Mytilus edulis: one gene and its partners. The protein of the gene in region 2 purifies or fractionates together with the protein of the main gene of each other region. This does not show direct contact. Links are inferred from orthologs where the notes say so. Each region holds a gene or a part of one and is shown on either strand. Other genes may lie near its edges.

Evidence for each region.
Region 1: the proteins of sequestosome-1-like (region 2) and BAG family molecular chaperone regulator 3-like purify together in Homo sapiens (affinity purification with western blotting; 3 studies listed by BioGRID and IntAct, with this or other methods). This does not show direct contact. The link is inferred for Mytilus edulis from reciprocal best matches to the Homo sapiens genes SQSTM1 and BAG3.
Region 3: the proteins of sequestosome-1-like (region 2) and WD repeat and FYVE domain-containing protein 3-like purify together in Homo sapiens (affinity purification with western blotting; 4 studies listed by BioGRID and IntAct, with this or other methods). This does not show direct contact. The link is inferred for Mytilus edulis from reciprocal best matches to the Homo sapiens genes SQSTM1 and WDFY3.
Region 4: the proteins of sequestosome-1-like (region 2) and regulatory-associated protein of mTOR-like purify together in Homo sapiens (affinity purification with western blotting; 3 studies listed by BioGRID). This does not show direct contact. The link is inferred for Mytilus edulis from reciprocal best matches to the Homo sapiens genes SQSTM1 and RPTOR.

What each region holds. Positions count from the first base shown.
Region 1 is NC_092355.1:71,848,499-71,855,862, forward strand, and holds the start of BAG family molecular chaperone regulator 3-like, read left to right. Parts: upstream 1-4,360; 5' UTR 4,361-4,457; coding exon 4,458-4,595; intron 4,596-7,364. UniProt on the Homo sapiens protein: Co-chaperone and adapter protein that connects different classes of molecular chaperones including heat shock proteins 70 (HSP70s), e.g. HSPA1A/HSP70 or HSPA8/HSC70, and small heat shock proteins (sHSPs), e.g. HSPB8.
Region 2 is NC_092351.1:5,214,363-5,222,183, reverse strand, and holds the start of sequestosome-1-like, read left to right. Parts: upstream 1-4,817; 5' UTR 4,818-5,280; intron 5,281-5,795; exon of another isoform or gene 5,796-5,820; 5' UTR 5,821-6,040; coding exon 6,041-6,209; intron 6,210-7,802; coding exon 7,803-7,821. Other genes in the region: uncharacterized protein, read right to left, coding at 543-1,550, 1,892-1,995, 3,062-3,157, 3,720-3,945. UniProt on the Homo sapiens protein: Molecular adapter required for selective macroautophagy (aggrephagy) by acting as a bridge between polyubiquitinated proteins and autophagosomes.
Region 3 is NC_092352.1:34,272,029-34,279,275, forward strand, and holds the start of WD repeat and FYVE domain-containing protein 3-like, read right to left. Parts: upstream 3,016-7,247; 5' UTR 2,887-3,015; intron 1-2,886. UniProt on the Homo sapiens protein: Required for selective macroautophagy (aggrephagy). Acts as an adapter protein by linking specific proteins destined for degradation to the core autophagic machinery members, such as the ATG5-ATG12-ATG16L E3-like ligase, SQSTM1 and LC3.
Region 4 is NC_092352.1:4,899,705-4,906,727, forward strand, and holds the start of regulatory-associated protein of mTOR-like, read right to left. Parts: upstream 3,001-7,023; 5' UTR 2,853-3,000; coding exon 2,703-2,852; intron 1-2,702. UniProt on the Homo sapiens protein: Component of the mechanistic target of rapamycin complex 1 (mTORC1), an evolutionarily conserved central nutrient sensor that stimulates anabolic reactions and macromolecule biosynthesis to promote cellular biomass generation and growth.

The DNA of each region.
Region 1 (7,364 bases), on a different chromosome or scaffold from region 2:
TATGATTATAGTATGTCCAAGATTTTTATACGACCGCAAAAATTAAAAAAAATTTGGTCGTATATTGGTATCACGTTGGCGTCGTCGTCGGCGCCCGAATACTTTTAGTTTTCGCACTCTAACTTTAATAAAAGTGAATAGAAATCTATGAAATTTTAACACAAGGTTTATGACAACAAAAGGAAGGTTGGGATTGATTTTGGAGTTTTAGTCCTTACATTTTAGGAATTAGGGGCCAAAAAGGGCCAAAATAAGCATTATTCTTGGTTTTCGCACAATAACTTTAGTATATGTAAATAGAAATCAATGAAATTTAAACACAAGGTTTATAATCATAATAGGAAGGTTGGGATTGATTTTGGGAGTTGAGGTCCCAACAGTTTAGGAATTAGGGGCCAAAAAGGGGCCCAAATAAGCATTATTCTTGGTTTTTGCACCATAACTTTAGTATAAGTAAACTATGAAATTTAAACACAAGGTTTATGACCATAAAAGGAAGGTTGGGTTTGATTTTGGGAGTTTTTGGTCCCAAAAGTTTAGGAATAAGGGGCCCAAAGGGTCCAAAATTGAACTTTGTTTGATTTCATCAAAAATTGAATAATTGGGGTTCTTTGATATGCCGAATCTAACTGTGTATGTAGATTCTTATTTTTTGGTCCCGTTTTCAAATTGGTCTACATTAAGGTCCAAAGGGTCCAAAATTAAACTTAGTTTGATTTTAACAAAAATTGAATCCTTGGGGTTCTTTGATATGCTGAATCTAAAAATGTACTTAGATTTTTTATTATTGGCCCAGTTTTCAAGTTAGTCCAAATCGGGGTCCAAAATTAAACTTTGTTTGATTTCATCAAAAATTGAATAATTGGGGTGTGAAAAAATTGGGGGGGGGGGGTTAAATTTTTCTCATTTCAGATTTCATAAATAAAAAGAAAATTTCTTCAAACATTTTTTTGAGAGGATTAATATTCAACAGCATAGTGAATTGTTCAAAGGTAAAAAAAATATTTTAAGTTCATTAGACCACATTCATTCTGTGTCAGAAACCTATGCTGTGTCAACTATTTAATCACAATCCAAATTTAGAGCTGAATCCAGCTTGAATGTTGTGTCCATACTTGCCCCAACTGTTCAGGGTTCAACCTCTGCGGTCGTATAAAGCTGCGCCCTGCGGAGCATCTGGTTTTATTTACAACAATATTGTTTATTCAATGAATCAAATCGTGGTATGATATCAGATTATTACATGTCATTTTACATATCGCATGTATTATCGGCCCTAGTTCAATATCAGACCAAGACAAATGGACATGCCGTCACCAAACACATATTCATCCAAAATGACATGTTATGATCTTTTTATCATATGCTTCAACAATGGAGAAAAATAACAGCTAGAATCATATATTCATTCTTTTACGTGGTTCCCAAATAGAAGTTCAAAGAGTGAAAAGTTCACGGACGTCGGACTCCAAATTTCATACTTTCGATATGAAATCTTTCTATCATATGCCTCAAGAAGAAGAAAAATATTTTGAATGGACGAATCAACAAACAAACAAAAAACAATTCAACAATATAAATAATGAACACTGTTTGGAAAAGTCAGCTTTTCTTCAAGTAACTTTCTAAATTATGTTTGAAACTTTTAAAAAATGCATTTATATAGTAATTTGTTTGTTGGGATTTTTTTTTAATTTTTTGTTGTAATTATTTTACACAATATACTTTCAAGTATTCAAATATTGTTTTGTGCACTACTTTGTAAATCAATGTTTTTCACTGAAAACGTAGCATTGAGGTGTAATTTCCGGAATTTGCCGAATATCACCGGAATGCCACGCGATAACGTTACGGAAAGGCATGTGATAACAATCGAAGCATGTGATAAACTTTTCATATCAGCCCGCTAAGCACTAATTCGAAAAATATGGAAGTTGCGTTAACTTAATGCTATTATCATACAGTAAAAATCGTATGTTATTTAGTCTAAGTATATGATAAGTTATGATATACATTTAAATTATAATATAAATTTAAGTTATTATGAAAATTTAAGCTTCTGATCATATAAATTTAAGTTATAATATACATTTAAAAAAAATATAAACAAGTGGATACAGAAACTCTCGTCATGAAACATTGCCTATTCAAACTTGCTTTAAAAAAGAGTCTTATTTGCAGTTCTTTTTCCTCAGTCCAAATGCCGATATTAAAGTCGCAGGACCGCATCACACAACAATGTTCCCGCGTACTCAAATATTCTTTTATACCATAATTCATGATTTAAATTTAATAACGTTGAACTTAATATTTTCCTGGTACTATTACATGTATAGTATACTGTTCGTTTATAGTCCAAATTATGAAAACCTAAATTCTCATTTACTAAGTATTCAAACATTATTCTTTATTTACTTTAAACAATACAGTTTATCAGTATAATATGCTTAAATACACAGTTTACAAGTTGTATAGCGTTAACATACACATAAATAAAAAACGTCAGAAATATCAGTTACATATTATACATTTTGTGAGTTTCAGACTACATATAATAAACATAGGTCTTAAGGTGGTACCCAACACTTCCACTAAAATTAAGTTGGCTCGTTTAATTTTCATAAAATTTTAACAAAGTATTTACTTTGACCCTCTGACAAAAATATCAAAATTTCAAAATATTTCAACCAATCGTTTTATCAGAAAAATTACACTGGTTATATAGCAGTTTGACAAACACTAATTTTGATCATTGAGAAGCTTAATATTCCCTTAACAACACAACGTTATTAAAACATTTAGCAGATTTTACAGAGTTATCTCCCTGTAGTGTTAGGTACCACCTTAAATATTATTCCTGCACTTAAATGCATACTAGAGTAAGTACTTTCCTAAATTACAGAGTTCCTTAGTGTTTTCAACAGAAAGCAATTGTACTAATTTATAAGTTGACGGTCTAGTTCAATAATATTTCTTGATAAACTTTTTATGTATATCATTATTTTGTAAGCCTTGGATTGATTCTGACATCAAAATCATATCATCAGCATACATCAATAAAAAAAAAAAGTGTTATGTCCTGAAATTCAAGTCCACAGTTACCATTATTAATAAATTCATTCTCAAAGTAATTGACATAAAATGAAAATAAAATAGGGGAAAGAACTTCCCCTTGCATTAAGCCAAGATTATTAGAAAAGTATTTTGAATTAAATCCATCAAATATAATACATAGATCTTACATTGTTATACATTGATTTTAAAATATTAAGCAATTTTCCTCTGATTCCTTATTTAGAAATCTTGTACCACAAACATAGACGATCAACTGTATCAAACGATTTTAAAAAGTGAACAAGGCAACAATTTAATCTATTACCTTTACAAAAAGAATTTTGTATGACAGAATATAAACAAAACACAGCATCTACTGTACTGTAACCAGTACGGAAACCAAATTGTGCATCAGATAAAATATCGTTCATTGATGCCCATTTTAGCTACTATTCAAAATAATAGTGAATAGTTTACCTAGATTGCTGACATTAGACTTATACCACGGTAATTTGCTGGGTGGTTCGCATCCCCAGATTTAAATACTGGCACTAGAATAGCATCAGACCAAGTGGACAGAAGATATCCAGAGCTCAAAACGGCATTGAAAATGGTACATATATAAGGCAGCACAAGGTCCTTAAACTCGATGAAAAATTCGTTTAACAAACCATCTGGACCATGACTTTTTTCGCGTTTTAAGTCATGTATAGCTTTAATAATGCCATGCGCTGTCACTTATAAATTCTGTATAATAAAAATAATATTTATGATTTCATCTTGTCACGTTACAGTATAACACATGTAACTTATAGCATGTATAGTTTAAGTTCAGTAACAACATTTTAACATTCGTTTTATTTCGGGGTTGCTGTCTCATTAATATATGAAATGAAGTCAATGTTCGCTGTTTAAGTTAAAGTACATGAGTCATGTCTTTTTTATACCGAGTTGGATCACTCATTTATATCATTTAATTAGTAATAGCCTGAGCTAGCCTAAATATAACATATGTATGTATACATAAGAATTTCCTTGACACAAAAGTTTGAAATATTGAAAATGAAAGTAATGTTGGCTCATACCGCATTTTATTTAAAAATTTTATAAAAATGTTTTTTCTGCACCAAGCCCGCCTGTGTGTATGTACTCAATTATTAATTATTGTTTTATAAATAAGCTCAACCCAATTGGAACCCCGCCTCCAGGTCATGTTTACACGAATGAGTTGTTCCCCCTTAACATTAGCATTTCTCTAGACTTATTATAGTTAGTGATACTAAAAATCCGAGTTAAATTTCCGGAATGTTCTAGGTGTCGCCCTAGTCGATTGTTCTAGATCATTGAAGCCAAGTCGAGAATAAGTTAAGAAACTGGCTATATAAGGCTTGTAAATTCGAAAAATGTACAATAACCAATATCAAAACAGTAGAATGATGGATCTACCTCCCGGATGGGAAATGCTGACCGATACACGGACAGGATGGCCATATTACGTCGACCACAACACACAGAATACAAGCTGGGAAGATCCGAGATTGGTATGTTTACACTTATATTTGAAGTCTTTACTACGTAAAATCAGCATATTAATATAAATATATATATATTTGTAATGCCTTATGAAGTGATAAAAGCAGGAACTCGTACATTATAACACCACAATCTAAATTCACGGAATTGTGTTCAAAAGAGTGTCTCAGGGGGTGGGGTTGTTAAATTTTTATTACTTTAAATGTATATGGGGGTCTTCTTCACTAAGGTTTCCAGTCTTCCATCTGAATAAAGATGATTCACAACTGGTGCATGCATGAGGGTAATAACGCCTTTTAACGTCAGGCGTCAACCAGTCATTTTTCGGCTTCCATTACTTTTCAAATTGGTTAAAATTTACTGTAATTCGTCAAAATATCCTTATGGTGATTCGTCAGAGGTCTCAAACAATAATTGTTGCTGTCAATTTTGGAAATAAAAGAACGTGATGTTTAATCGTCTAAAAGAAAGTGTACATTTTATGTCATACATATAAAATTACCGTTAACGTCATTTGGCAAGAATTTTACCGTTTTTCGTCATGAAGGTACTCCCATTACAACACCTCATGCATGGCCTTTGTGATGAATTTGCAACACTCAATCTGATATTTCAGATAGTATAATGCAGTATATGACACTTAAAATTTTTGAGGTCATTGCTTATCCTTTGTCATGTTTGTGACATCATACTAACCAACAGACAGTCACACTGCACAAATCCTACACTGAAAATATTTGCAATACACTGATACAACTTTAATATGTTTAAAGGGGCATAAGCTGTCAAGATCATGTTCATGGATTTAACCAATGTTCTCATATTGGATTTACAGCTTGCCTTTCCATAATAAATAGAATCCATATATACCAGTCAGAGCTCAGACATTTATAAATAAGTCTGAATCTGCTTTTAACTCATAGAGGTCTAAATTTGCAAGTTTTAAATTAGGATTTGTCTCCCTTTAATGCAAGACAAAATACGACTTTAATAAGTCAAATATTGTTAAGCAAGAAATAATTGACCAGAATCAAAAAGTGGCAAATATCGACTCCTACAAGTCGATAAGTGATCAAAATTGGTTAACTTCAAGACCCACGCATATTTATTTAGAGGTCATGCATCTAAATCAAATAATGACAACATTGAAAGACAATGCTTTGTCTTCTAAAGAAAAATATGAATGAGAGTCTAAAAAATCGGAGATAATGTTAATTAACCTTACAATGCAACCACCTGGAACCACACTTAATGAGGTAAAATATCTGTGTTTAGTAAGGATGTTCAATTAGACAATTAAATATAGATAGCTCAAGTCCTTGTGAACTCTCAGACAGGTTTTTGCTGTCATAGGTGGTGTAGTTTGGCCACCAAGTGAAATTAAGTTTTTTCATCAACACAAATAGACCTAAACAAGTCTGTGGTTCATGGTACAAATGTACATGTAGATATAAGAAGATGTGCTATGAGTACTAATGAGACAACTCTCCATATCCTAGTCACAACTTGTAAAAGTTAACCATGGTTCCTGACATATGACAGGTGCAAACAAATGCAATGGGTTTAACCCTCTTGCCGCTGGAGGGACACATGTCACTGTCCACACCGACTGTGCCGGAGGGACACATATGTCCATGTTTTTATTCATGCAAGCTTCTCCACAGTGATGTATGTTTTTCAAATGAAAATCTAAAGATCAAACATGGTTATAAAAAAATGTATGTTTCATCAATGGGTCCCAAGTGTTACAGATATTATTGCATATTGTTGGACATCTTAAGTCAAAGACGTTGAGCTGTCATATTTTTTAGCACACAAAATGCAACCTTGAAAATCAAATGGCAGCAGGAGGGTAATAAAGGTTTTAATAGGAACCAACCTTCACCCTTTCCTGAAATAGAAAAACATGTACTACATGTATAGAATATCAGTTGAAATGGCTTAACTTATAAATGCAAGACAAGTGAACATACACTGAACAAAGAAATTTATTAAATCCAGATGACACAATGTAAATACAAAATCAAAATCATAGTTTAAATTTAATGTACTATTATAGGTTTGTCCAAGTGACAGATTATCTACATGAGCCATGGAAACAGAGGTAGAGATTGACTCAGTGTTCTCCCCAGGCCGTTTTAGCCGACGCAATATTTTTTCACCGTGATGCTATAATAATTCCCGCGACGCTATAATTATTTTGAAGATGCTATTTTACTTGTCCTCAATTTTGAACTTTCATCTATCATCGATTATGATCATAAAAATTATATCACCTTTAATTGTAATCCCTTTAAGTCGGACACTAAAGGCAATTAAGAGATTAAATAGCTAGGTGTTAATTGCCCTCAGGGTGATAACTGTTTGGATGTGAATATCCCAAGCTGACACTTGTGACTAAACCAAGTGTCACCAATTTCGACATGGAAAAATGCAATCACAAAACAATTCGAAATCTATGTTTTGTATTACGAAATTTCAAAGATTGAAACGATTTTTTTGATTTTTTTAAAGATCGTTTATTTGTGCAACTCTCCAAAAATAACTTTTTTTCTCTTCCGGTAATACGAGAGCGAGAATTTTGGTTTAGAGCTAAAATAAGTTTAATACTTCTGTAACAAGTTATCATAATTGGCTTAAGTTTATGTTAAATCCATTCAATGCATTAAAAGCGTCTTATTCATTCACAATCTCTTGTCAAACAATGTTTATTCTCGGACTCATTTTTCGTAAATTTTCTACGGCCGCCATTGCACATTTTTGTGTAAACTACGGAT
Region 2 (7,821 bases):
CTCGGTTGTTTGATATGTTTCCCCTTTTGTCATGTTGTGACCTTTTATCGCAGACTACTATACGGCATAGGTTTTACTGAATATTAAAGGATGTACGGTGACATATATATATATATAGTTGCTTACATCCACATCATTTGGACTTTGTTGATAGTTGCCTAACTGCCAATCATATCACATCTCAAATTTTTATATTGTAGGAATTTCATTAAAAAGCTATTTGACTATACCGTCCGCAAGAAGTAAATAAGAACATATTTAGAGGTTTTCTTTTACAAGGAAAAAACACCAGAAGTATAGTTATAATGAACAATTTTAATGACTAATCTCATATCTATCATTATAAAATTACAGATGAAGAATTCTTTAAGGCTACAATGATCTACACATAAAATACAGTTTGTCAAAGTTAAACTGATCTCTCAAAACATCCCTTCACTATTGAACATTTATCATAAAAAAATAAAACAACATTATTTTGTTACATGATTATAATATTGTAGTGATACTGAAAAGTTCACAAAGGTGGTTTAAACTTTTGTTTAGACTTTGTGTAGACAATCTATAGAGCCGCCTGGAGTATGTCTACATCCATGCTCCAGTTCAGATTGTACCAAATTCTTCTCCTCTTCCAGTTCTGACAGGTTGTTGAGAAGTCTCATTCGTCTTGGTATCCAGTAGTTCATGCCACGCCCATGACGGTTTCCTAACCCTCGTTGCTTCACCCTCCATGCATTTGGTATTTTCTTGTTTTCCTCACGCATCTGTCGGAAATGGATTTTCTTTTCAAGATTTTCTTGACGACGACAACGACGCTTAGTTTTCATTTCATCGTTTATATACTCATCTGGTTTATCTTGTGACTCGACGAACATCTTGCGTATATTCTTTTTAAACGGACCATTTCTCAATTGTTTGTCACCGTGGTGACCATTTCGGCATTTACGATCATGACATTCCGCGGTATGATGGTGTGGACCAAATTTACCAAACCGTCTCCCTGCATTAAACCGACCAAATTGTACTGCTCTAGATATTGTCCCAGTGATACGACTTGGACAACTTCTTGCACGGTGATGATTTTTCAGTTTCAGTTTTATCACTGCATTGTCTTTATCTTTACCAAATTTGCCTTCTTTACGTCCGAATCTTCCACGGCCCACCTTTTCTTTTCTTGTAGACGGAGGTCCTGAATTCATACTTCCTTCCTGGTTAGTGGATTCTGGAGTCAAATCTCCAATTTCAAAATGTGCGAGTTTGTTCCTTATGCGCCAGATGCGTTTTTGCAGACGATCGTTCTCACCATTTTGATTCTTGTGGCCTTCAGTTCTTGTGTTTAATGAATGTTCCATTTCTTGTTGTCGCTTCAACCATTTTTGTTGTCTTCTGTTAAACCAGGCTTCCATTTCTTCATTAGATTTCCTCTGCATTTTGTTTCCATGACGACGATGATAAAATCTAAAAGATTCAAGCGCAGATTCATAGTTACCTGGTCTTATTTTGAATATAGACCGCCCATTATTCTGGTCAACGTTGAAATCAGGAGACTTCTACAAAAAATATACGAAAAATAGGTCATTATTATAAGTTCAACTGAGAATTTAATTTTATATTGCACGCAAGAGTAGTTCGTCTTTTTATTTATATGGATGTTAAACAATTTAATGTATATAAATTACTTTCAAAACATGATTTGTGTGATAAAATAGGGTGTATTCAGATGGATATGTGGCTATACACATTTATAAGACTACGAAGTCCGTATTTGAGTTTCTGTCTGTGTTTTTTTTCATCGTTTACAAATTGGTTAATTGCTTCTAGTTGATCATTCAGTTTGTTTCGGTAAGCAAATAAGAAAGTTGGAAGTTCCTCTTATCTTAATTTTACTTACCATCATTTGAGCTTTGTGCAGCCTTCTCCCAGCTTCTTTCTGTTTATTGACTGTGTTACAATATTTAAGCTGGGGTACACTTTTCATATATTTCTGTTGGTCAACTGAAATAAATAAATGTATAATTTAACATGCATTGAACTATACATTATAAACTTACCCACATAAAATATTCATGAATCAAATATTTCACACAAAAATTACATTGTAAAATCGAGATTTCGATCTGAATAATGTCATTATTAATTCAGCAAAAAGTTCTAATTGCAGTTAAACAAGAAAAAGACAAGATAGTAGAGCGATGCATATTGCAAATCAAAAGCAGTGATATAAGCGTATCAATTTAATGACTATTTTAGAGGCGAATTTAGGGGGAGGGGAGGGGTATCCTGGAAAAAATGGTTGATTATATAGGGAACCACTGAAGCATGACTAAAGCGGCCCCCTATTAGGCAGACATTGTACCCCTTATAAAAATGTCTAGATCCGCCTCTGATGACCGTGAAAAATAGACGCAATTAGGATTTCATTTCATGTCCATAGCTATGAACGATGTTCTATAAGAATTTATTTTAAGAATTTTATTAATCTAATCAAGAACCCATAAAGGGCATCATTTTACAACACGATATGATTGGAAAAAGCAAAACAGAAAACTAATACCATACTATAACGTTATGGACAGGATCAGAGCCTAACAGATCATGAAACTATTTCTGTTTTATCAAAATCAATTGCTCTTTCAAGAACAAGAGACATGATAAACTAATTGTTTATTACTTCTATGTGATTCAAATGTAGATGTCTCATATCTTCGGGGCTGACGGCCCTCGGATACGAAAATCCTACATCTAATACATGTGCGATGATTTTATATTCGGCACTGATATGTTAAACGAACAAAAGAGACCGAAGTTTGAGCAAAAGAATTTCTATAACGAGGAAAATTCCAACATATACATGCTTATAAAAAATGACACAGCTAATATGATTTTGTTTGTATCAAGATTTTGGATTCTGTATCAATAAAAATCTCTTAACAGAATTTATAGTTCTTAAATCTATATTTAATAAGTTATGTTTTTAATTTTTTCAAGTCTTTATCTTTTTTTTTTTTACCTTTTCAGGCACTAGACATGAACTGCATATACGATAAATCAAATGGCTTACCTGTGACGAACATTCTAAATATACCACCGGAGACACCTTCCAACGCCTCTTGTAGTTCTTCGTCTGAAGAAAATGAGACAAGATCGCCATCAGCATCTACAATTGATATAACATGGTGATTAATTACTCCCTGTTTTATGAAATTAATATTATAAAATCATGCGCATGTGGCCTACGATGCAGACACTGGCAACCCTAAGCTTTTACTGCTATAATTGATCACGTATTTCACTCCAACACAGATCACATAAGTTTTGAAAAGGGGTGTACATTATCTCTCTTCTTTTAAATAAGTTGAACAAAATAGGTAAAATAGTTCCCCATGCATAAAACAAAACCAGCATTTTTCACATTTTTAATTCGGATTTAATTGGCAAAAAAACAGCAAGTTTCAAAAGTTTCTTTTGTTCATCACTTTTATTTAATTAAAAGAGCAGCACATTTTATTTCAATCACGTTTCCGTCCATTATTTTTTTCCATTATACTAGAGCTCTGACATTATAAATTAATAAACAAACAGTTTCAATATATACATATTTTGTCTTTATTTAAATAAATATTTTCTATATAAATAACTTATATTTACTTATCTTTCATCGATCTATCTATATATATATGTGTATATTTACCTGAGTTAATTATAATATGTTAACTTACCTTTCCACATTAGTTCACATTTATCTGTGAAAATCTTGGTAATTTTCCTCTTCAGGAATTCATAGCTCAAATTTTCATCGACAGTAAATCGTCGGAATTCAGAGGTTTCGTCTTCTTTAATAAAGGCTGCTTTAATTACGAGCGGCATTTTCACAGTTGATTCGAACTTTATTTTCGTCGCTACAAATGCGCATTTAAACGAATCATCGCTTTTTATACCATTCATCTAACATGTCCCATGACCGTGAGTCATAGACGAAAATAGATGAAAAGAATGTTCTAGAACAACGATGAAATACCTCGTGATGATGAGTCAACGGTTTTTAAATTAGATGAAATCGAATAACGTCATTCTATTTGTACAACTTATTAAAGGTTTACAGTGAGTCACGCGGTAGATGAATAGACGAAAGAGGATTGTATTTGTTCAACTTATTAAAGGTTTACAATAAGCCACGCGGTAGATGAATAGACGAAAGAGGATTGTAAAGAATCAAAGAGAAAAATTTGGCAATTTATCAAAGGAGCAATTAAACGATTTAAAACGTTTTATTTAAAATTAAGGTTACAGAACATTTGAGGGGCCTTACTAGGTAACAACATACACATTATTAACAAATATTACTTTTTTTTATCTCCTGAAACAAGGAACATATTTATTTATTGATATTAAATTCAAAACTGAAAGGTCACGAGTCATTCACATGCAACCGACAAAACAGGGTTTCCAAAAATATTTGACCAGGTTTATTGTGATGAAAATCAGGTTTATTGTGATGAAAATTTTCGAAATATCATAACTAGTTTATAAGCAACTAATATCAAACTAGCGTACACGGCAGCGCCTTACTTAATTGAAAAGATACACATTAAATATGATAGAGAACATGCAAAAAAAAAAAAGATAATCACAAAATTCATCCATTCCTAGTCATGATCAAGATATGTACATGTATGTAAGTTTGTGTGTGTGTGAACTTGGGGAGGGTTGAACTTTTTTTACATTTGGGTTCTTAAATAAACGGGAAGAAATTGTACTATTTAAAGTTCACTCCCTTTTAAAACAAAACTGTTTAGACTAACACAATAGTATATCACAAACAAACAAACATATTTAAGTACACCACACAAATACGATAATTATATAAGTTGTTTTTAAGGAAAACGGAATAGTTTTATCAGATATTTTTTAGGAATATTGTTTATTTACAACTCTGTATATTTGGCCGATTTGATCCATTTCTAGTTTGTACGGATGGGCATATGTTTTTTTGGTGTTTTTTTTTTATGAAATTCAAGGTACACTTGAGTTATATAAATAATCCTTGCAGAAATTTTCAGGATTATAGAGTTCTCTTAAAAAGTAGGACTCAACATAAAGAAAAGAAGGACTGGGGGGAGAATGTCACTGTGTGTGTACTATATATATATTTTATTCTGAAGAGCCTACTATAGAAAGTTTTACTATTAAAACATTTTCTCCAAATATTGGAGCGACCCATATTATACGGAGATCAAGAGTACTTTGGGAGTTGCATATCATGATACTGCGGTTGGCCTGGTAGGAACTGCTTATATTCAACATTGACAAATAAAAAACAAAACATAGAATGAAAATGAATAGCTTGTCAAGCAAAACGTAGAAAATGTAAAAGTGAAATAAATTAAAACAATACAGTTTCTCATGAATATGATTTACACCTGATGGATTTAGTGGTCGAAAAAGGGTGGGGTGGTCCCTCTTATATGAGCTATATTTTTTCATAATCCTTGTCATCATCTGAATCGACACAAACATATATCTCCTATCTACTCCTCCCCAGAGAATCGTTTATAATTTAATTTTCAATTTGTGACAAATTAGCCTAACAAATCTTACTATACAAATATTTGATACAATGTGAAAAAAAATATTTGATATAAATGGAAATTGACATTGCTAATTGTTTGTATGTCAGAAATTCAAGAATAACGTATTCGTCATGGTCATAAGTTTCTTATTCTCTGTTCAATTTCGTCGTGTCATTTTGTGTTGCATAAAGAGGAAACATGTGTGCTACTAAAAATAGACATGACATCGTTGTTTGTTGATATTTTTCAGAACGGAACTTGCGCATTACACTCATATTTGAACAAATGTTTGTCATCATTACTTTCAATTACCTGGTCTAGTTGGTTCTGGAATTAAATCTTTCGTCGATTCATCGTCATTCATACCTGACAACTTGGGCTTATAAAAAGAGAAGAGTTGACGAATTTAGACATAACTCTATTTGGTAGCAAAGTGGACACAACGTCAACAACAACAATTTCCCGCGAAGATGTCATTGACAGTAAAAGCCTATTTGGTAAATAAAGGAGAGGAAAAGAGAGAAATACGTAGATTTGCTGTGCCTGCTGATGTTTCAAGCAGCTTCAGCTATCTTCAGAAGAAAGTGGCGGATATTTATCCTACCCTAAAGCAAGGAAATTTTAATCTATATTGGACTGGTAAGTTGATTTTGATTATTTTAATTTACACTATTTACAAAAGCGATATACCTGTACATTTGTACATAACATGATATACTATAATAGGCAACCAAAAGATTAACTGTATACGGTTGTATGCAGCTGTTATAAAACTGATTGCTACATGTAGTAAATAGGATAGAAAATAAAAACAATCTTGTCATATATATATATAACACTGATGGTTTCACGGATTTGATATATTCCATATTTTCGATGCAATATGTCAATTTATGCAATGAAAGGAAGCTTTTATAAATTGAAATGCTGTCTGTAAAAAGGTTTATTTATTTTGTCTAGGTATTTTGAATTTCCATTTTACTTTTGGTTAAGTTTAAAATTAATTATGTAATTTATTATGTTCTGTTAAATGCCCTTGATGTTTCATCATATATATATATAATGTTGTATACCTGTACAAAAATGTATATCCTGTATAATTTGTCTAATAATAGTTGACCTGCTTTCAAACCAGGCTTATTGCAATTTAAAATGCTGCATTATTAGTTTGTTGAATTTAAAGTCATAAGAAACGAGTGACCGGTGAAAAATAATGTTCTTCCAATTCTTGAAGTAATGCATACAAACATCCTAAACCTCGTCTTCTGTGCTCCAATTTATCATTTTTTTCGTGTAAATTTCGTATAATTGTCAATTTTTTTTCTCAATCGGTCAGTGTTGTTGTGAAAATATGGCAGGTAATTAAAGTTCGTGTTTTGAAGCCGAAGTTTAACGATTGTCACCTGTTTGTCAACAATTGACGAAAAATAAACAAAAAAGCATGGAAATTGAGCACGTGTTTAACATGTAAATTCAGATAATAGTTTATTTTAAGGACATCCATGCGTATTGTGGTCACCGGATTTTTACGAGATGGGTCACACTGAGGTCACCTTGCATACGGAAAATATGTCGGGGGAATAGCTTGCTGGAAGGAAGCTATTCAAATAAAGTAAACTTCTTCTAAATATGAATAAATTAAAGAATTTTCTTCAGAAAAAAGTATATGTACATAAGTTTTATAATGAAAACTATCCATTGAGTTATAAAAATCATATGCATTATTTTTTTTTTTGATTTGAGGTTTCTTATGACTTTAAAGTGATCAGATGTTTAAATAATTTTTTATAACAAGATTATAATTCTTTTTCCAGTCATTGTTTCAATAAATGCAAGAAATTTTTAAATGTTTTTGACTCTTGTTCAATTAATCTTAATTATGTTTAAAAAATAAGATTGATTGAAACAGAAACAAATGCATGTTAATTTCCACAATAGACAATGAATGAGTTCATGTACATTTTGAACATGAATATATATATATATATAAAAATTTCCTCATGTTTACAAGGAAAACACTATTGAAACTGAAAGCTATAAGGAAACAATTACTAATATCTGAGAATAGTATGCTGACTATATATTATGTCCCTAATATAATTTATCTAGACACTCAATTTATTTGAAAAAAGTGGAAAACCCATTGCAGATTGTTCTAAAATTGTTGAGATATTTAAAGTTTCTGGGGCAGACTTAATCAGGAATTACATGTACCTATCTTATTTATTTTAGATCCGGAGGGTGACCAGAT
Region 3 (7,247 bases), on a different chromosome or scaffold from region 2:
TTACAAGCAATATTTAAACATCTGAAAAATGTCGCCGGTAATTTGCAGCGATAACGTCGTAAAAGTCTGCCAGCGACGTCGTGCACTTTAACACCAACTTTGAGGTTACAAAGGGGTGGATGCAATTTTAAGGATAAATCGTGTTTAGCATAGAATCCAGCACGGTGACATATATTTTTTATTTGAGATTTGGAGAAAGCATGACAAAATGCAGTTTATGCAGAAAAATGACAAAAATGACATTTTCAGAAACACTTTATTTTCATATTTTTGGGATTAAAAAAATGCCACTTTGAACATCTGGTCCGCAATGTCAAGCAAAGCTTGAATAATTGTATAGTCAGTCGTGTAGGGATTTATTTTTTCCCTTATTGTCACTTATCACAGCTTCAAATTGAACCCGATCTTAATAATTTACGACGAAGAATATTTGCTCCAAAATTTTTATAACATTGCCTACCTTTTTTACAAAATTGCACAAATCCCCAATTTTTTCGAAAACGAGCACGGTGACCTATGTTTAATTTTGTGTTTTATTTTATAACTCGCCAAGGCCTACAACTTATTTCAAAACTATAAAAATGACATTATATCGAGAAACTGTATCGGATGCCCTTAAACAGAAGTCTTGAAACCTTATTGAGATTTTTTTGGTTTGGTTGCTAACAGAATTCCATTCATAGCCACAAAATTTAAACTAGTTCTGTTCCTTTATTATTTATACCCCTCGAAATTCTGAAAGAAGGCGGAAACTATCAGTATTTTTTTGTTGGTTTTATCTGGTAGTTATATAGAATCAGATCCATTTTGTCCAATCATTCTGCTAGATATGTGCTTTAATTAAGTTTTGATCAGTATTGTAAAAGACAAAATATTTTTAACAAACTGATTTACCTATGCTATTGAAAAACAAGATCAAGAAAGTAAGATTTTTCTTTACAGTTTTTTATTTTCAAATTAAAAAAAACACTAAAAGATCATCAGAGAGAAAGAACCATATGGATTATGTCACTTCAAAAGTATTTTCTACATTAACAAAATGAATCTACATTTGTGTACATTTGTACATGAATAATTACTACTGTTAAGTAAAGTATTGTCATATTAATAATATAATGGATTTTGTTAGAAAAATGTGTCTTTTTAAGTGCTTTAAATGAGCAGGGTTTTCCCCCGAAAATTTTTTGAAATCTAGATTCAAAATCCTGGCATCTGGTGAATTTTAAGACAATTTTTCATGCTTGTCAAATTGACATACTACCAGCAGAACTTTTTTTCTAAAAAATTTTGTCTGCACAATTTTAAGAGTTTGAATACTGCTATAATTTAAACGTTGACAAAATTGAGCATACTGTTCAAATTCTGTATTGCCCCTCAATTGATGTTTTCTAACTACTAAGTCTTAGTGTCATGATTACATGTATTCTTGTTAAGTGTGACTTAATTTTTCAAAATTAAATTATATTTTTGATTCTGTCTGACAGCAAATTTGATTTGTAAATATTCCTTTATCGTAGGAAATTTTCCGTATTTGCTTGAAGTATTCAGGCCTGTTGGGTCATATCAAATCAGGAGACAAATAATGTATTCCATGTCTCCCAATTTAGAGACATCTCTAGATCTGGAGGCTGTCTCCCGATCGGGGAATATTGACTAGCTGTCGAATCTTTGATCCAGCGTAGTGCATTTGAACCAAATTGACAATTATGTCATCGATTCATTCGCGACTATTAATAAAACACAACAGAACAAATTGAAAAATAATGCATGCAAACGTTATAAATTGTTTTATCATAAAAATCCACACCTTTGTGTCGCTTAGCGGGGAAAAAATCTGTGATGGAACATTTCATCGTCAACAGTTCAACAACAAATGAAAGTTTTTAACGACCTTGACATTGCATGACTTGCATATTTACTCGATATCTCTCGGAATAAATCATCTTTTATTGTTGACATTTCAGCGCAGTCATCCGATAACATTTTTTTTTATAGTTCCGGCTAATCTTTTCCGATTGGCCGAGACTCTAGCGCATGAATTAGATTAATACGCTGTTGCTAAGGACCTTAGAAACTAGCGATAATTTTCATTCTCACTCTACAGATTGAAATAAACAACAATTCTATGAGTAGTATGTAATTTCAGAGCGTACATGAAGTGGACAAGATGAGTTGAACACCTGAATTTGTCTTCTTATCTGTGCAATTTTAAGTTAGGCTTGTTACTTGCATTTGATTGATTCAAATTCTTTCAACTACGGGAATCCTCTATGTGAATTGCCCTCCGACATTTCTGAAATTTATATACATTAACTTCCCTCATCCTTGACAGTTTAGGTTTGTGATATTATTACTTAAGGGTTTGTAGTAATAACATATTGTTTTAAAGATGTGAAGTTTGATTATATTAAAATAATGTTTGAGCTAAATCACTGACAAAAATGTCACATCACTCTTCTTTGATTTATGAATATATAAACTTTCAAGTTTTTTCTGTTCACTGTTGTTCTCTAGTCCAAATAATTATGACGTCTTGAAAGGCTATTATAATTTTTTTCTTTGACGCCTTACATTAAGGCTTCAAAGAAAAAAATTATAATAGCCTTTCAAGACGTCATAATTATTTGGACTATGTTGTTCTCCTGCAAAAAGTGAGTTGATAATGCTAAGACTGAAGAAGTAAATGTTTTAATGTGCTGAAGTTGTTCATAATTGAGTGGTAAATATTTGTAATTTTAATGTGTCTACAATCTGCAAATGTATGATCGATTTTCATTTTCTGTTTCAGCAGCTGAACAGTGATGGAATGTACAACTGTTGAATGAAGTAATTCGACGTGTTTCAGACTAAATATCAAATGTGCAAAACTAAAAATTGTGGGCATACTTGAATTTGATCTTAATGTCAATCTGTCATTGAACATGTTATGGTAAATTCAATATTTATACAGGGTTGTGTATTTTCGCCATTGCGTCTGATTATTATGGCAAGTTAACTTCCGTGCATCTCATTTCCGGTTTTTTAATTCCGTCAGATGGCGGTTAAATAGGCGAAGTCATAAAATGCGCGAAATTCAAACTATCCTTTGGAAAAAACAATAAGATAATACTCTCTGATATTAAAGTTCCCTTTGTGACCTTTGTTCATTGAATCTTACAAGTTGATTTCGTATGTTCGTTTTACTTACCATAAAGTTTGTTCCTTTGTGATATTTTACACACTGTGTACATTCAGGCCTTTAGTCTAGAGTTTTTCATAGAACAAGGTGATGTACAGTAACTTCACAAAACATCACAGTAACTTCAACTTTTATACAATAATGGGGAGGGGGTTTTGTTTTTTTTCAAAAAAAAATATCTTCTGATTCCCAATTTGATGGGGGAAAAATTGTGGTCAAGCAGATAAAAAAATGTTTTGAATCCAGACTTATCCCCATTCCCACTGCCCATTCCTTGTAACAGTCAGGGATCAACAGCTAGGATACCCCCAAAAAAAACTCATGATAGAGTTGGGGGCCCATTTTCGCCATGGACACATTTTCGCCATTTTGCTATTTTTTTCTGTAAAATTTGTGTGCCTTTAATTTACCAGTACTTGCCTAAATAGATTGTAAAATCTGTTTGAAATGTTCGAACGGTTGATATTCCTCTTTAACCCCATTTCAAAGGTTATTCGCACATATAAAGAAATATGCAGGTATTTTTAAACAATTTTTGGCTATTATGTAAGGTTTATATGGCAATCATGCACACCGGCAGTCTTAATGTAAATATTTGTGAGAAAAATCGTATAGGAATGATCTCTCACGCTAATTACAAACATCGTTTTTTATAAAATACCAGGATAATGAGGATGGTCATACCATACATTGCGGCGAAAATGTGCCTCACATGGTACACGAACAACTTGATTTCCTCTCGAGTTTGCGTTCATTTATAGAACAATTAACTAATGTTTTGAAGATAATTCCTTTATCAAATATTTTTTTCATATAGTTAAATTTCTGAAACCTACATAAAAAGTTCCAAATATTCAAATGTATGTCGGATGTAAGTGGAAATGAACTAATTATGCGGCGAATATGGGTTACTCACTCTACTGATAATTATGGAAGCCAAGAAACTATTGGAGAGTCTGCAGAAAAGAGTATTGCTGATAGTTATGATGGGGGTGTTTGCCATTCTGGTATCAATTTTACTAATGGAAACCTGTATGGTAGAATTTTAAAATCGTGAAAACGTCCCTCCTGATACTGATGATGGAGACAACCTTGATCTTGAAATTCAGACAGATAAAGATATATAGGAGGAAATTATGGAATTTTAAAAGAAGAATCAGATGATGAATTTAAGAATTTCTGGTGAAAATAAAACAAGAGATGCTCGGCTACTTGAAAGGCAATGTGAACACGTACAAAATAGAATTCATTAAGCCAGAAAATAAAAGAGGTGATCAGCTATCTATCTATTAATATAAGAACAGCCAATGATTTAACAGTTATAAACAAGTCAGATGGTGAGAGTGGAGATACACTGTTTAGTCATATGGATTTACAGATGATGAGGCATTACTAGACAACTGGAGAACACATAATGAAAAAGTTGAGGACAATGGTAAAAACTGTAAATTAGAACTGTGGGATAATGTTATGGAAGAATGAATTGCATAAATGATCTAGACTGGTAGAAAAAAGTTTTTAAGACTTGATGTGTTTGAGCTTTTTATTTTGCCATTTGATAAGGGACTTTCCGTTTTGAATTTTCCTCGGAGTTCAGTATTTTTTTGTTTTACTTTTTAGATGAGATCCAGAAAAATTCTCAAACGTGTAAAAACAATCTCTATGACTGATATTGTCAACAATTGCCAGTAAAAAAATTAAATCAGTGAACATTAAAACTGGTTTCCGTCAACGAGAAAAGATACAAATAAACTCATCATAGATACCAGGATTAAATTTTGTATTACACCAGACGCGCGTTTGATCTACAAAAGACTCATCAGTGACACTCGAATCCAAAAAAAAATAAATAGGCCACATAAAATACGAAGTTGAAGAGCATCGTGATTAAAATTCCTAATCGTTTTGCCAAATACAGCTAAGGTAATCTATTCCTGAAGTAGAAAAGCCTTACTCTATCAAAAATTCAAAAGTTTGGCAAACAATTAATTTATAAATATGACCATATCAATGATAATTCATGTCAGCACAGAAGTACTGACTACTGGACTGGTGATACCTTCGGGGAATTAAAACTCCACCAGCAGTGGTATCGACCCAGTGGTTTCAAATAAACTCATCATAGATACCAGTATTAAATTTTGTATTTACGCCAGATGCGCGTTTCAAAAAGAAGTCTAGCTACTTGAGACCTCCAAAGAAGGTAAGGTCTGGCGCCTAAATTAACGTGTATATGAGCTTGCTGAAATTGTGTAAAACAACACTGTTATATTGTTAAGCAACAGTATCAAAAAATGATTTAACAGTGTTCAATTGACATGTCAAAGGCTTGACTTGTGTCTAAGCAGTTTAATGTAGATGATTTTCTTTGGACAGGATCCAGTTTTTCGAGAAAAAAGGTGTTGTATCCATTCCATGATTAGTGGTCTGTTCGAGGATTTTGAAATAGTGCTGTACATTTTTCAAATATTTGAGACTAGATCCAAAACCAAGACAATGATAGATTTGTTTTAAGCCAGAATTACTGATGACTATGTCATAATGCTGAAGACAGTTTTAATAGATAAGGACAGGGTAAGAGCCGCCAGAGCAGACTTTATTGGGGTCCAAATAGGACAATTACTATGATAAACAAACATGTCTAGACATTGATTTTGATGTTGCACGTACACACTAGAATACAGTAAGCCAGAAAATGCAAGAGGTGATCAGCTATATAAGAAGAGCCAATGATTTAACAGTTATAAACAAGTCAGATGTTGAGAGTGGAGATACACTGTTTAATCATATGGATTTACAGATGATGAAGATGCACAACTAGACACTGGAGAATACACAATGAAGAAGTTGAGGACAAAGGTCAAAACTGTAAATTAGAACTGAGGTATAATGTTATGAAAGAATTGGAGATTGAATTGCATAGAAGAGCTAGATTGGTAGAAAAAAGTTTTTAAGACTGCTCAGTTTTTAAGACTTGATGTGTTTGAGCTTTTGATTTTGCCTTTTGATCAGGGACTTTCCGTTTTGAATTTCATCGGAGTTCATTTTTTGTTTGTTTTACTTTTTAGATGAGAAATAGAAGAGTTCTCAAATGTGTGAAAACAATCTCTAGGACTGATATTGTCAATTATTGCCAGTACAAAATGTTCAATCAATTCAGTGGACGTTAAAACTGGTTTCCGTCAAAGGAAAAAAAGATACGAAGAGAAGTCTACTCGAGACATCCAAATAAGCTAACGAAAATGGTAAAGTCTTGCGCCGAAATTAACGTGTATATGATCTTGCTGCAACTGTGTAAAACAACACTGTTAGACTGTGGAGGAACAGTATCAACAATTGATTTAGCAGTATTCAGTTGACATGATGACAAAGGCTTGACTTGTGTCTAAGCACTTAACGTAGCTGGTTTTCTTTGGAAAGGATCCAGTTTTTCGAAGAACAAAATGGTGTTGTATCCTTGATTAGTGTTCTGTCATAGGTTGGTAAATAGTCTTGTACATCTTTCAAATATTTGAGACTATAAACTAAGACAATGATAGTTTTTTTCTAATCCAGAATTACTATGTCAGAATGTTGAAGACATTATTAATAGTTAAGGACAGGATAAGAGCCGCCAGACCAGACTTTATTGAGGTCCAAATAGGACAATTACTATGGTAAGACATACAAACATTTCCAGATATTGCTTTTGATGTTGCTGCTGTTCCATAAGACAAGCATAGTTGATAATGTTAAAGTCAATAAGATAGAAAGGAAGATGCAACATGATCGTGTGTCAATGCACTTTCATTATCTTATACAACATATGGAAATAAACTAATCATAGATACCAGTATTGAAATGTTATATTTGACTAATGCATATTGTTCGGTGATGCCTCGTGTTGAAATCTTTCAGAATGCTGAAGCCAATTCGTTGTCTTTTTGATAGACGATCATTGAAAAGTGGACCAAATTACTTGACAGTCTAATACAGTGCGAATGATTTAAGCTTTGGTCGTAGGTAATGGATTGTGACTTGTAATATCTCTAATAGTTCTTTTTAATTAAATATCTATGGAATCATTCCC
Region 4 (7,023 bases), on a different chromosome or scaffold from region 2:
ACCCAACACTATACCCAAAAAAAATCCTGTCGTTTAATTTTTCTTATTTTTTTTCATTGATAAACTAGGCCAACCTGATCGTGAACATCTTGTAAAAAATTTAAAAAATTTGAACCATAGGTTAAAAAGATTTGGCAACTCAAATATGGCATCTTTTACATACTAGTAAACTTACGATCCTTTTCAATTAAGATTGGAGTCTATAGCATCTGCTACCAGATGTTAAATCCAAAAGTCACACCTCAGTGTTTACCGTTGACTGGATAGTGAAACAGTTGGTGGACTACTTTAATTGTCACACCTCAATGTTTACTGTTGACTGGATAGTGAAACAGTTGGTGGACTACTTTAATTGCTCATTGTTTACTGTTGACTGGATAGTGAAACAGTTGGTGGACTACTTTAATTGTCACACCTCATTGTTTACTGTTGACTGGATAGTGAAACAGTTGGTGGACTACTTTAATTGTCACACCTCATTGTTTACTGTTGACTGGATAGTGAAACAGTTGGTGGACTACTTTAATTGTCACACCTCAGTGTTTACTGTTGACTGGATAGTGAAACAGTTGGTGGACTACTTTAATTGTCACACCTCAGTGTTTACTGTTGACTGGATAGTGAAACAGTTGGTGGACTACACATTCCCACCAAAAGCCCGTTCGCGCCCAATTTTAAATTGCTTTGATGTAAATACTGCATGTATTAACATGATTAAAGGCTTGGTATGATTAAAAAATTGAAGATTTTAAATGAAAAACACGAAAGATATAAATTGTTATTACTTGAAAAAAAAACAGAATCTCACTTTATCTGTTTATTTTAAAGCAATGATATAAAGTTATAGCAATACACTAACCAAAACATGATAAAGAGTTATTCAACACAACAACAAAAAAAAACGTTGACAGAATCTCACTTTATTTAGAAACTGATTTTTTATTTAAACAATACATTACACAATCCAAAACATGATTTAGATTTATTCAACACACAAAAAATGATGAGACATAAAGATTTATTCAACATAAAAACAAAGTTTTGAGACAATGACAAAAAATTATACTTGGAATACAGTGGAGTCCCCGGTGTCCGCGCGGCCGGTGATACCGCGCATTTGCTGATATAGTTATATCAACACCGTAACACAAATGAAATTGTTCTTGTTATTGTTTTAGCATTCCGAAGGGAGAAAAAAGAATAAAATAGATAAGTTCCAGATAGAAATAATAACTGCAATCCCGTGATTTACAATATTTGGCCAATGGCCATTAAAAGAAATTCAGCATCAGATAAAATTTGTTATACTTAACCCTTTCGCCGATGAGTCCCGGTTTACCGGGATTTACGCTTCAGACAGCTGACGATGAGTCCCGTTTTACCGGGATCAGAATACATCTTTTATATTTCCCGCTCAAAACAGTGCAAACATGAGTTATCTTTCTTTCATGAATACCCGGATGAAAGTGTAAACATGTCGCTTCCGTTTGTTGAAAACCTTGTCAAAATCGAAGGAAATTTACGGAATTTACGAGAATTTGAAATGAGGGAACATTTTTTTTGAAAGAATATGGAAGAATTGAAGCCAAACTAGTATACTTTTTTGACATAAAATGTCGTTTTATGTACAAAACACTTGGAATGGACATCGTTCAGTGTGAGGAATTTGTACAGTCTCATAAATTTTTACAAAATTTTGCCGTTTTGAGTTAAAAAATTACGATTTGGGGTCAAAGAGCAGAATTTTGAGAATTTCACATAAATAATGCCGAAAATTTGAAAATTTGAATATTTTATGATAAAAAAATTATCAAAACATAAACAAAACTGTGAACATTGTGTTAGTGAATGAAATAAATACACAAATAACTACAAACAAGTTTTTATTGACATTTATTATGAAGATCTCCCACTTGAGTAAAAGTAGCCAGGGAAGCTATCGTCTCAGAGTAGCTTCTGTCTGGGCAGCAATCGGTGAAAGGGTTAAGTCAATTTTTTATCAAATTGAAATAATTTTTGCTCTGCATCATTGGCAGTGTGCTTGGTTTGAATTTAGCTACCTTTTGTAGCAGCAAATCTTTCCTCTATTCAAAATAAGCTATTTTTGGAAGGCATGCGCGAAATCACCGGACATTGGAGGAACTCTCAGAAATGGGTTTCCCCAATTTTGGAAACCCATTACACAAAATCTTGAGGGTGAAACCCTACAAACTGATAAGTTTATGAAATAAAAGTATGTTATGAATGTATTCACACAATATTATCCAATTATTGGTTTTATCAGTTAAATGAAGTGAAGACATAAGTCTTAGGTGCGCGGATACACCGGACTGCACCGTACATATGTAAAGGAATACACTTGGCAAAACTTAATTACAAAGTCATTAAACACAAAACCAATGAAAATAACTGGGCGCAAACGTGTAGAGTGCTAACGGACTCTGGGTGCAAAAGTGTAGGGTGCGAAAGTGATAGGGTGCGAACAAGACTGAGCGTGAACGTGAATGGGAGCGAACAGACAGGGATTTGTGTGTCAGTCTCATCTCATAGCATATAAAATCCAAATTGGCCATACATGTTGTACAAAATAAGACAGCCTTTTTCAATGAACATCATGAATCCATTATTATTGCTATAATTAAATAATTGCTGGTATAAGTGAACATTTTAGATAGAACAGCTTTAAATTATGGAATATGCACCCTTTCTTTCATTCTCCAAGTCTGGGTAACTTTCTTTGACCCTTCAATTTTTTCCCAGTGACGAAGTTCGTTAAAGGCAACGAGAACATTCCAGTCGGACAGCTCATCATCTTCATCAATCAAAGGCGTCAGTTCAAAATCACTTGACATTTTGAATAAAGAGGTTTACAAATATGTTATTTGCAATTATCTCAAACTGTCAATGTGATGGAAAAGAATAAATTTGACAGAGTAAGGTGTCATGCTTTTTTCATCGGCCATGTTTACTTTTTTACATTCGTAGTCTCTAATTTAGTATGATATAACAGCTTTATTCCATCACATTCGATTTTCGTTATATTGTAAAATATTTTTATATTTTAAATAGATTTTGATATATTACATTTCGAAATCGAAAAGTTAAAGATTGTTAAAGACTATTTGTGGTCGATATCGAAAGTGAAAGTACAAGTTGTAAAGGCGGGAATTATGAGTAAAAAAATCGAATCAACGACAACTCGTCCTTCTTGAAATCGTCCCACAACAAATCGACTTATAGTTCGTAAAAAAACCCACTCCATTCTTCTTTACCAACTCGTCCTACTTAGAAAAAAAATAACGACCACAATAATCACACGAATTTAGGACAGAAAGTCACAGGACAAAAGGTCACAGACAAAAAGTCAAGGACAAAAAGTCGCAGGACAAAAAGTCACAATTCATTTTTTCTGATTATTTTCTTTGAATAACAAACGATTATTTTTACAAAAATATTTTTGTATTTTTCTTGAACTTTTGTACATAAACCAACTTTGTTAACAAATATTTATAAAAAAATATCAAAGATCATAGTGCCAAGAAATCTTTCATTTGCATGATTAAAATTAAATAAATCCTAATTTTTCAAGCATAATGACACATTTCCTACACTAAAAATGAATATATGTATTTTTGTCCTACCAAATTTGTGACTTTTTGTCCTGTGACTTTCTGTCCGTTTAACTAATCACAATACAGTGCCACCTTTCTGGGACGTACGTGAGCATATGGCCTCAGCCCCTATGGATGAGGGTATGGATGGGGGGGTCTGTTATTCTGTAAACATTTAATTTTCACCCCATTTTTCTCTAATCTTTAAAAAATTAACCCCTTTTTTCTCTAATCTTCCAAAAATTAACCCTTTTATTCTCTAATCTTCTATTTTTTGGCTCATTATTCTCTAATCTTTATTTTTTAAGGGCATTATTCTTTAATCATTTAACCCCATCCAAACCCTCATGGATTTTACTAACCCTCTATGGATCCGTAGGGGGTCAGTACTGTAACAAACCATATAACTTATAATAGTTGACACAGTAAATGTGGGCGAGTTGATAAAAAAGGGGGGTTTTGCCAGTGTGTTGATTTCCAGTACAGGATTGTTCCTCTTCACCAGACTCGATTTCTCCCCTGAACTAATATAATAAAATCAGTGTAATAAATCTCTTCATTCATCCAATATTGTTTGTGACGTCACTATAGTCGTTTTTAACCGAGACATTGATGGAGGAGGCTTTGATTTGTTGGTATATATATATATATATTGACACTGACAGTTTGTTTCCTATAGTTTTGGCTATTTTTAGAGACAAAGAGAGTTTTATGATACTTGATTGTAACAAACTGCAGGGTTGGTTTTAGTGTTATACTGGTAACTAGGCCAATTGAAATTAATTAATAGATTTTCATCCCCGCCCGCCCCTCTGAAATCGTCCCGCCCCGATTTTTTTTATTTTATAAAATTTACGATTTACGGATTTTGTTGGTTTCCGTTACCGATAACCGTGAAAAATTTCGTTTCAATTATGACTTCCTGTTTCAAATTTCGGTTTTGTACCTCGAGTAAATCTAACCAAAATGATTGTCGACATATTCTGCTGCTCTATGATGACAACATCATCTTCTGAGAGTAAAAACTGATAACGATAATGAAGTTAAATATTCGTGTTACGAGAAAAACGCTGTGTCCTAGACCACAAATCGCGGCCATGTCACAAATTTCTGTGATTAGAAAACTGAATTTTTTTATGCAATGACTTTGTGTCAGGAAGTTTAAATGAGAAAGATATCCCAAGCGCTAAACTCGTGGTACCCATTGATACAGAAAACATGACTGGATTAAGGATATTGAAACACAAACACGAACTTGTATATTGAGTTTAAAAAGTCGACTAACATACGCTTTTTATTTACACATGCCCTTAGATTTTAGCCATGACTGTCTTTTCTTGTTGATTAACAGAAATTGTCCCAATACCCAAAAAGGGTAATTAAACAACAACCTCTTTTTTATTATTAAGTTCACATGTGTTTTACATGGTAATTATATTTTCATTTTGCATAAATGCATAAGTACCAACCCTATTATTTTCAACACTGTTTGAGTTTTCTAGTTCTGTACTCATAATAATTGTGTTGCATACCAATGCATTTGCTTCATTTTATGGGGACTAAAAACCATCGTTTAGGAACCCAAATTCATTTGGTGTAGAAGGTCCAACTGAAGAGATCATTTCTACACGTTTTTGTTGTTTAGCCGCAATTAGAGACATTTATTTTAGGATTTGAAAAATAACGTAAGATTCCTCATACCTGTGCATACATGATATAAGCTTATTATTACACTTGCATATATGAAGAGCTCGTCACAAAATGGTTTCATATGAAATAAAATTTAAAAAATAAAATCCTCCCACCCGCCCCATTTTTTGAAAAAAATTGGATGAAAATCTACTAATTAATTTTAGTTGGCCTTACAAACAAAATAATGTTTTTTTATCACTGTAACATGGTTTGTCACTGAGTCTTTCTCTCTATAAACTCTTAACAGAAGAACGACCTCTGTGATAACAGAAACTAGTTCTATTCAGTTCTGATAGCCTTAATGGTTGCAATGAACGAAATGGTATATACATAAGAAAAGGGGGGGGGGGGGTAATATAATGCATCATATGTCGTTGCTGTGGCGTTTGGTGTATTAAAAGACACACATATTAAAGAAGAGGTTCGCATTGTTATGATAAAGAAAAAGAACCAAAAGTTCAAGACAAATTACTATTTAGACATTAACGTTACAATTAAACATTTATTTCAGTCAATTAATTTCTAAATATTAAAACAGCTGCTGATATTTTTTCAGCATCACATTTGATTGATACTATACATGAATATTAAGTATATCTAAGTTTAATTTAACTTATCAAAGATATCAACATTATGAATTTAGTAAATTACAGGTCTATATTTATTCACATTAAGGCGAGACCGCTTTATATAACGATGCTATGGCAACGTATCTTTCCTAGTTATAATAGTCAACTTTAAATATAATTATAATTATTGATATTAATAATGTCTGAAAGTTAGGGTTAATTATTTATTCAGTTTAAGAACTGATGATTATGTTCAAAGTTATATAATGAACATATTCACCTGCTTGTGATATGTTAATTTGATTTAATACTTATTAGAGTTTTATTCTATCAGGAAATAGTTAATGATTCAAATGCATGTAATGATTAAGAGATAGTTCTTGATCTATTAAGGGGTGTTTAACGGCCATGACTACTGCGTTGAAAGTTTCGCACGACCGGTGATTTTTGCATTTGCCAGTTGAAATTTATATCGTTGAATCTGTCATTCTTGTGTGACGTCGTTTTATGTATATGGTTTTTTTTATTAGCCAAAGATAGTCATACTAGACATATTTATGATGAAACTAATTGCTGAACGCATAGGGTACTGTCTTCACTTTAGGTTAAAATTAAAGTATGCATAAAAGTTGAATTATTAACTTGCAAGACAATTATACACAGAATCCATGTTGTCTTTTTAATTCTTAGCTTATTTTGAGGGAATTTAAACAGCGTGACTGCTAATGGCATAATACGATTTCTATATCCCGCTTTTTGCGAACAGCGGCATATACTACTGTTGCCTTTATTAATAAGTATCTGAACTCCCAAATCATAATTTTAATTGTTTGTTTAATTCGTAACTAAAAGATATAGGACGATGTGATATGAGTGCCAATGAAACTACTCCATCCATGTAACAATTTATAAAAGTGAACCATTACAGGTCAAGGTACGGCCTTCAACAACTTGGCTTACACCGAACAGCAAGCTATAAAGGGCCACAAAAATTACTAGTGTAAAACTATGGAAACTGGAAAACCAACGCTTTAATCTATAAAAAAGGGGGATGCCCCTTTCAAATAGTTTTTATTGATATGGTGATATGAAGTAAATAATCCGACTCATTTGTAAGAATTACTTTTCAAAATGTACGAACCAATTCGATA